Linked DNA regions of Caenorhabditis elegans. The main gene of each other region encodes a partner of the protein of the gene in region 2 in a complex. Each region holds a gene or a part of one and is shown on either strand. Other genes may lie near its edges. A codon is read from its position in the direction of its gene.

The links. The genes of interacting proteins can lie anywhere in the genome.
Region 1: the proteins of mec-7 (region 2) and atat-2 are in contact, whole or in part, in a cryo-EM structure (PDB 8Y9F), measured with the Caenorhabditis elegans proteins. Residues at the interface, in NP_509313.1 of Caenorhabditis elegans: Gln15 (codon at 1,714), Ser18 (codon at 1,723), Lys19 (codon at 1,726), Glu22 (codon at 1,790), Ser33 (codon at 1,823), Ser75 (codon at 2,070), Val76 (codon at 2,073), Arg77 (codon at 2,076), Ser78 (codon at 2,079), Gly79 (codon at 2,082), Pro80 (codon at 2,085), Phe81 (codon at 2,088), Gly82 (codon at 2,091), Gln83 (codon at 2,094), Leu215 (codon at 2,490), Lys216 (codon at 2,493), Leu217 (codon at 2,496), Thr218 (codon at 2,499), Thr221 (codon at 2,508), Tyr222 (codon at 2,511), Gly223 (codon at 2,514), Asp224 (codon at 2,517), Asn226 (codon at 2,523), His227 (codon at 2,526), Leu228 (codon at 2,529), Phe270 (codon at 2,655), Pro272 (codon at 2,661), Leu273 (codon at 2,664), Thr274 (codon at 2,667), Arg276 (codon at 2,673); in NP_001379875.1 of Caenorhabditis elegans: Gly238 (codon at 768), Arg240 (codon at 762), Thr249 (codon at 735), Lys252 (codon at 726), Asn253 (codon at 723), Arg255 (codon at 717), Asp256 (codon at 714), Phe257 (codon at 711), Gly258 (codon at 708), His259 (codon at 705), Arg260 (codon at 702), Arg261 (codon at 699), Ile262 (codon at 696), Trp263 (codon at 693).

Annotation. Positions count from the first base shown.
Region 1 is NC_003284.9:5,847,534-5,852,481, reverse strand, and holds atat-2 (Alpha-tubulin N-acetyltransferase 2), read right to left. Parts: upstream 3,383-4,948; 5' UTR 3,375-3,382; coding exon 3,234-3,374; intron 3,125-3,233; coding exon 3,030-3,124; intron 2,306-3,029; coding exon 2,134-2,305; intron 2,074-2,133; coding exon 1,980-2,073; intron 1,024-1,979; coding exon 872-1,023; intron 826-871; coding exon 688-825; 3' UTR 511-687; downstream 1-510. Other genes in the region: hog-1 (HintN domain-containing protein), read left to right, coding at 28-243, 358-417. UniProt on the Caenorhabditis elegans protein: Specifically acetylates 'Lys-40' in alpha-tubulin/mec-12 on the lumenal side of microtubules. Promotes microtubule destabilization and accelerates microtubule dynamics; this activity may be independent of acetylation activity.
Region 2 is NC_003284.9:7,774,299-7,778,237, reverse strand, and holds mec-7 (Tubulin beta-1 chain), read left to right. Parts: upstream 1-1,548; 5' UTR 1,549-1,671; coding exon 1,672-1,728; intron 1,729-1,783; coding exon 1,784-1,911; intron 1,912-2,032; coding exon 2,033-2,687; intron 2,688-2,734; coding exon 2,735-3,053; intron 3,054-3,100; coding exon 3,101-3,267; 3' UTR 3,268-3,382; downstream 3,383-3,939. Other genes in the region: ZK154.4 (uncharacterized protein), read left to right, coding at 590-670, 864-959; Degenerin deg-1, read right to left, coding at 3,563-3,747, 3,794-3,896. UniProt on the Caenorhabditis elegans protein: TTubulin is the major constituent of microtubules, a cylinder consisting of laterally associated linear protofilaments composed of alpha- and beta-tubulin heterodimers.

The sequences.
Region 1 (4,948 bases), 1.9 Mb from region 2:
TCCAATAACAATTGATTTCTATTTTAGGGAAAATTTCGCCAACAAAGAGTCATGAGAATATCGATAACCGAAAGAAAGGGAATTTATGCCCCAATAACAAAAAACGGGCGAATTATTGTGAATGATATCGTAGCATCGGTTTTCAGTGGAATCAAGCACACACGGTTACAATCCGATTACTATTCTACCATAGCCTATGCACAGAGCTGGTTATGGATATTTGGAGAAACTGTCTTTCACAAAGTGAGTGCAACTTTTTAAAATTGAAAAAAAAACGACCCTATTCGGTTAATTGAACTCTAGATCTCTCTAGATACCTGTTTAGGTTACCATCAATCAAAAACTTTTGCATTTTAGGCCACAATCCCAATCGGTTCAGCATTAGCTTCAGACGTACTCCGGTTAGTAATACCATAACTGAAAATTTAACTCAATCATCTAATTACATTCTATCTTTTATTACGAGTTTTTTGTTGATATTTTAAAAATTAAATAATTATGTTCATTGTGTATGAATAATTCGTATTTATTATTTTGAGTTTGAAAACAGCCAACTTTGATATTAAGCGATTAGAAGAATTATGAAAAAGGATTGAAATATCAAAAATCATGAGATCATAACTAAGGCAAGGAGGCATATTTATTGTGTACTGCCGCCAAAGTAAATAATCAAAAACTAGCAGCTTATCACCAAATCCGGCGATGTCCAAAATCTCGAGCATTTTTCAAGCCTGTTGGACTATTTGGGTCTACTTCAGCACGCACTCCGGCTAACATATCCTGGCGCATCAAATCAGCAACCGAGTCGTGACGGGGGCGATTGCGCTGAAATATTATTTTTTGCAAAACAACTATTTTTTTATTCACAAACCCCAATTGGGGAGGTGTTACGGCTGGATGCATGACTGGACACAGCTGAACTGGCTCGAGACGCTCGTTTTGTCTGGCGAGGGGTGAATGGAACAGTTGGGTGACGTCCAATGAAAAAATTTGAACATAATGCATATTTGTTTGATTGCCATACTGGAAATGTTGCGGATGATGAGAATTTCTACATATAATACGGTCGTAAACTAAGTATCAAGTTTTTTGCATACAAATTGATGACTGTTGCAAGTAAGGCTTTTTTTTCTGAATATAATTTGGCATCCAAAGACTGAAATAAATTTAAGAAACTAACAATGGATTGATAAAGTTTTTAAAACTGTGAACTAACTACTTATGCAATTTAATTCAAATTTGAAAATAGAGCGATAGTTTGATTTTTAAAAAGATTTTAAACAATATCGTTCTGGTATTTTTATTAGTTCAAAATTCAAAATACTAAGTAATCATAAATACATTTCCGGCAAGCTTTCGACAAGTATTATTGATAAAAATGGATGAGTTCAATAATTCTTTCCTATTTGAATTTTCTAAAAGTGTTTAAACATTTTCAAATGAAACTCAGCTTAAAATTAGGTTTTGGGATCCATTTCTGTCAAGAAAGTGGAGGAAATAAATTTTTCTGTTTTACGAGCAAAAATTAATAACAAATTCGAGTTTTATTCAGCTATTTTTATGGACTAGTTTTCAATAGAATATTGTATCAATGTTTTATTTGTTTCATATTAACTTTTTATTCCACACCAATTATTAATGACATACTACTAAAAAAACAAAACTTTTGATTATGACTAATGAAAGACAACTGCTCATTGCCAACGAAACTCGGGTGATTTCATTGTTGCTCACTCATTCAGCACTCTCTTCAAAATGCATTATCTTATCAGCTTATCAGAGCTCCAGCTACTTCCATGCAAAGTATGCTTTAGCGCGGAACCCGGAATAAGTCTGCGGTTGCGAGCAACAGCTAATCCAGTGCGAAATCCACTAGTATCGGGTATGTTTAGGTGCTGTGAGCTGTATCTACCTTGTCGGTCTTTGCTGTCGGCCGAATTTTGTAATGTATCGGTGGTACAAGAATGCAATTTACTTACCCAAATCTTTTCTATCATAATATTTTTCTAGAAATTGTTGGAGAGCAGCTGATGGTTTGTCGAATGCGCATTGGTCTACTGTTACGTTTTCAGCCTGAAGTAGAACATTTAAAAACTCTAAGTCACTTTTCTACAAACATTTAAAAAAACATACTTTTAACATTTCATCAAACATTTTGAATCCATTTCCGGAGCGTTGTTCGGTGGGCACAACGAAAAAGTCCAAAATGCACATTGCTTTTTCCATGTACTGATTTTGTTCATTATCTGTCAGATAAAGCGTTTTATATCCAACTCGAAGCAACCCTTTGAGTATACTTTTGCTTCTGAAAAGCAATAATTAAGATAACTTTTTTTTTGAACGATTTTCCCAATTTAGTTTTAATCATGAGCAAAAAAAATTGAATTCCAAAATATATATTTTTAAGTTTTACATTTATATTTTTAGTCAAAACTAAAATAAATTTGAAACTTATATTTAATTATGCGTTGTAGGATGCAAAGCAACAAAACTCTAAATTCAAAAATTGGGTTATTCGCCAAAACCAAAACAAACTGTTGACTGGAAATTCTTAGAATTAATATCAATATATATTTTTTGCAATAACAAAGATTGTTGGTTTATATATAAGGATTATATAAGGATTTATTCAAGTAAGAAATTCGAAGTTCAAAATACGGTCTTACTATTAGTAAGAGGTATGGACAAATTATTGAAAGTTATATCTTTTTTTTTCATATACACACTGCAATATTCAGGTATATGAAAACCTCATGAAAGCTTTTCAAAAATCTTTTTTTTTTAATTTTAAACTACTATTTAATGTTGCAATCCTTATTGCGTTTATCAATTTACAAAAAAACAAACATTTTAAATATTCCAAAATTTTCATACTTATTAATAAAAACGTATTAAATTCAAAACGTATTAAATTCAAAACGCGAAGCCAAGGATCAAAATGTGCAACACATTTCGCTACTCCACCTTTGAAACATTCTTTCCACTTTTTTAATTTATAATTTCCAGTTTTCACTTTCAAAATGCCTTACCCATTAACTTTCTCCCACATAATGTAGGTCGTCTGCTCCTCGTCATGGTCAACGATCTTGTCATACATTGTGATGACTCTCTTCCATCCGTGGAACTGCAAAAAAAAAGACAAATGCCGTGCATTTTCAATTGTCTAAGCCATATAAAAAGTTTTGCATTGTTAATAACCTTCAAAAAAGTTCTGGAAAAAAACATGAACCTACCTTTGATGACATTTCACCCAGGCAATCTATACTTTGAGCCACAGCCCAATATCGTTTTGGTCCATACTTCAATAGGTCAGTTCGAGTGAGACGTTGAATGTTATCCGTAAAAATTGTTGACAAATCGAATGCGATCTCCATGTTTCTGCAACAAAAGTGATACAGAAAAATAGTATGAAACTTAAGCTGGACTGAAGGAAACAAATTTGGGATAAGTTGAGAGGGACTATGTACGCGATTAAAGAAAATGGGCGGAAGACACGAGACTACTGGCCTCGGCCGCAATATATGGAAAAGAGAGAAGGAATAAAACGGGGTACGAAAAAAAAAGGAAGGGAAAGAAATAGGATGCGAGAAAAAAAACTTGATGGGATACACACATGTCATTTATTTATGATTCACTGAATACTTCTCGATTGATTGGCGGAGAAAATCAAAGCAGGTGGGTGAATGAAGAACTGCGGAGGGAAAGTTTAAGAATGTGGTACAAGTGCTCGAGTATGAATGTTTGCACATTGATGACGGAGTATAGTTATGAAATATTCATTTTTGTGCAAACATTATACAATCGAACAGGTTCGAGTGGAGAGTAATTAAATATGGACTATTACTTTTGCGATTATTGTCTCAAAGGTGGACTTTCGACAAACCAAATGAAAATAAATAGTGGAAGATGAAAAAGTCCAGTTCGTAAAATTGCAAATTACCAGCTTCTGCTAATTTTTTTGTTTGAATTTTTCCAAAATGACTAATGCAACCAATCAGCGATTACCTGTATAACACCAGCATATTTTTGCTAAATATTAAGACAAAAATCCGATTTCCCAACTCCGTCTATAAATTGTATTACTCAGTCAAATAGTTAGGAATATCAAAGGAAAATATGAGAAAAATTTGTGAAAAAAACGATAAAAAACTATGAAAAAGCCCAGATTTTTTTTGGTTTGCTAATAATCGTACAGTTTAAGACAATAAACCCACAGATGAGTTAATTTTGAAAAATAGTACAATTCGAATGAATGTTATTTTTAAAAAATGTGGCATTTTTAATTTTACTTCCCAACCAAATCTATGCAGTGAACAGAAATATAATTTCATTGGATAAATTATTTTAGAAATGTATTATAGATTATTTTATACATTTTAAAACAGATTTAAACAACTAATCGAAAAAACGAAAAAATTGTAGGAGTCAGATGCATTGATTTTAAAAATATAAATTGATCAAAAATAGAAACAATTTTTGATTTCTCAGATAAAACTATGCAGTTTTTATCATTTTAAAAAACATTTCCGCGAAAAAATATATTTGAAAGTTAAAAACCAATTACCGAGTTGCTCTATTGTTCATCACATTTAAACTGGTCGAAATTGAAGAGAAAAAGTTTAAAACTCAATATTATTTGCTAGACCAAAAACGTAGATACTATTAAAATCCATATATATTTTGTGCAACCCTATTGAAAAAGTATACTATGCATAAATTTCAAAACGAATCAATAATTTCAAATATACAAAAAATTATTTTGAATATGATGTTAGTAAAAATAATATTACTATGACTACTCAAAAAAAGAGCTCTGAGCAGATGCTTCGATTGCAAAACTACTATGCCAAGATATATTTCAAAATGCTACAACTCTCCCGAATCGTATGGGAATTTGTAATGTGGTGAGACGGAGCGAGAAGTGGTGTTGCGAAATAAAGCCGGAAAA
Region 2 (3,939 bases):
AAGAAATCACCAATTCGATTTACAATATATATATATGGTCAACCTAAACGTAAAACATTGAATATTATAAAATCAAAATTAATTCACGATGGACCGTTTTTGAACATAACTTTTACAAGCTTCATCATGACAATGATAATATGACGATCTTATGATTTTGCTTTCACAGTGTGCGAGGAAACGAGTAAACAGAATAACGAAAGAAGAACAATATACTCGTTCTGCTAATCAGTGTAGTCGGTATTCGATTGTTCTCCTCCCCTAATTTTTTCCACGGAGAGTCCTGTTGAGAATGGATTCTTCAGCTAGCTTCAACAGCTTCTCCTTCTTCTTCTTGTCTTGTGTCTGTTTCTACTTCTCTATCTAGTTGTTCGTCAACTTTTTATGAATAGCCGCCAATCGGTCGGGACGGCGGCGCAAATTGCGGGAAAGAGATGCCGGGGACGCGCTTGACTCTTTTTTTTTCTCGCGCGTTCACAAGATTTCTGGGCGATGGAAGAGGAGACAAAAATTCTAATGACAAAAGGTGTCGCTGTGGTGATGCAGGAAAAAGACAAGAAAACCTGATTGCAATCCATTTTTTTTTCAGGGAGCTACGCCGACACTTGGAGATATCGATGATGATCTTCTCGGATGGGGTGATGACGATTTGGATAGCACCTTGAAAGAGGTATGTACTTTAGAAAATAGTTTTGAAAAAATATTACCTATTATCAAAAAAAATTCCGTTCGTCGTTTAGCCAATGATGTATGAAATTTTAAGCAAAGAAATTGATACTCAAGACAGCTCGCTGATTAGAAAAAAAAAACAAAAATTATGTAGTAATCTAGAAATGTAAACCTGTCATTTCTGTGTATTTCAGCACCGCGAAGAGCACCATAAACAGCTACAACAAGAGCACGAACGTCGGCTCCAACAGAAAAAGCTGCAAAACGCTGGTACTCACCACATGCTCTGATAATTGCCATTTCCTTCGATTTCTGACTTTCAATTGTGATATGATAACCTCAAAATCTCCATTCAAAATGAAAACTCTTAAATTTAAGAGCTTTCAACACCCCGCACTTTCCCACCTCATCGTTTTTCCCTTCTATCTTATCAATTTTTTGTATTTTGTGTCAGTTTGCTATATCCTCATCACCTTTTTTACCGTTTAATCTCTCTATAGTATTGTTCGGGTGTTTCAAGATGAAACGTTTTGTGTGTAGCATTTTTGAAACACAGCGCGAAAAATGCAGAAACTATCATCCACAATGCATTAAGTGCACTCATTGTGATGACTCCTAACCCCCTCGCCCCACCAGTTGTCTCTTCACAAATTCATGGCACAATTCAAAAATGGCTTTTTGTGTTGGATCTTGATCTCGTCTCTTTCCTTCTTCTTTCGTTTCTCTCGGACCACTCATTATTCGAATGCCATGCATTTGTTGATGATGCGCAGCGATGGTCGCACACACTACAACAGATATGATGGTGGCTGTGCGTGGTGCAGAGCTCATGAATAAGTGATGGGGCACCGAGATGTGACTCCTCCCATTATTCGTCTTGAGTCGCATCTTTTGTCTTGGTCCGTTGTCAGTCGAGCCTCAAGGCAGCCGTTCCGCCAGTGATCGCCTGCTAAGAAGTTGTAGGTGTAGAGGAAGAAACGTCGGGTCCAAATTTCAAGCAACATGCGCGAGATCGTTCATATTCAAGCCGGACAATGCGGTAATCAAATCGGTTCGAAGGTTAGTATTTTCAGTTATAATGTTCCTAGTTGTGCTTTATGCCAAGCAATTTCAGTTCTGGGAGGTAATATCCGATGAACACGGCATTGACCCATCTGGCCAGTATGTGGGAGACTCTGATCTTCAACTCGAAAGAATCAACGTCTACTATAATGAGGCCGGAAGCAACAAATATGTTCCAAGGTATAGATATAGTTTGTTTTGTCATAATTTTTCATGAAATTATTTTTTGATCTAGACGTTTTCCATGATTTTTGACATATACCGATTTTGTCCACCGTTTACCTAACTGTATGTTTTTCAGAGCTGTCCTTGTTGACTTGGAGCCAGGAACCATGGATTCTGTCCGTTCTGGACCATTCGGACAACTTTTCCGTCCAGACAATTACGTATTTGGTCAAAGCGGTGCTGGAAACAATTGGGCCAAAGGACACTACACCGAGGGAGCAGAACTTGTAGACAATGTTCTTGACGTTGTCAGAAAAGAAGCAGAAAGCACAGATTGCCTTCAAGGATTTCAACTTACTCACTCACTTGGAGGAGGTACTGGATCTGGAATGGGAACCCTTCTCATTTCAAAAATTCGCGAGGAATATCCTGACCGGATAATGAACACCTTCTCGGTAGTTCCAAGTCCAAAAGTATCCGACACTGTAGTCGAACCCTACAATGCCACCCTCTCTGTCCACCAGCTTGTCGAGAACACCGACTCGACGTTCTGCATTGATAATGAGGCCTTGTATGACATCTGTTTCCGCACTCTGAAACTGACGACACCGACATATGGAGACCTTAACCATCTGGTCAGTGCCACAATGAGCGGCGTCACTACTTGCCTCCGCTTCCCTGGTCAACTCAATGCGGATCTACGAAAGTTGGCAGTGAACATGGTTCCATTCCCACGTCTTCACTTCTTCATGCCAGGATTCGCACCACTGACTAGCAGAAGCAATCAGCAGGTTTGAATAATGAAAAAAAAACAACTTTGTGATAACTTAGTTTTTAGTATCGTGCCATTACTGTCCCTGAGCTGACCCAACAATGTTTCGACGCAAAGAACATGATGGCTGCATGCGATCCAAGACATGGACGTTATCTCACCGCTGCTGCCATTTTCCGAGGAAGAATGAGCATGAAGGAGGTTGACGAGCAGATGCTCAACATCCAGAACAAGAACTCTTCCTACTTCGTGGACTGGATTCCAAACAATGTCAAGACCGCAGTTTGTGACATTCCACCAAGAGGATTAAAGATGTCCGCAACATTCATCGGAAACTCCACCGCCATTCAAGAGCTCTTTAAGAGAATCTCAGAGCAGTTCACAGGTAAAATTTTACGATTTGTATTTTGACTAATTTCATATTTTTTCCAGCTATGTTCCGCCGCAAAGCTTTCCTTCATTGGTACACTGGCGAGGGAATGGACGAGATGGAATTCACTGAGGCGGAGAGCAACATGAACGATCTTGTTTCGGAATACCAACAATACCAGGAGGCAGCTGCTGATGAAGATGCCGCCGAAGCGTTCGACGGAGAGTAAATCATATTTCCTAACCAAGTTTTATTGATCGATTGTTATATCATTTTATTCAGCCTTTTTGCTTTGCTTTTTTTTTCATGGGGATTTCACAATTGATAAATTTTGATTAGCTAAACAACTGTTAAACACGGAATTTAAGGCTTGTTTTTTTTTTAATCAAAAAGCTCACTATATACAATTAGAGATCGGAAAAAACGAATGAAGGTGAAACGTGTTACAGCATTGTATACTACATCTTGAGAAACCCAGTTCAAAATTAACGTTATATAATAGTTGTTCAAAAGAGAGTTGGTATTTATATTGATACGAAAGCGTCTGACTTTCGCCCTGATCCAACTGTAATTTGCCGTTTATCTTCTGGAACATCTTTCCTTTTTGTGCTCTGTCTCAGAAGTTTTTCTTCGTGCCGACTTTTAAAGAAAAGGGAAATCATATCAACAAGCAGAACACAAACTTCCATCACGGTGATTACGGAGAATCCTGAATTTATTGCCTTCGTTCCTAGTCTCAAATCATTCTTTCATACCTAGCCAAAGTCCTAAATGTCCTCCAAAATCGGCGATCAAGTTAACCAAACCGTATGCCTCTGATTCTTGAAGCAGTTCGTAGTTCAGTTGTTCGTAGAATACCTGCAAAAGGGAAGATATGAAATTAGCTTCCGCATTTTTCAGA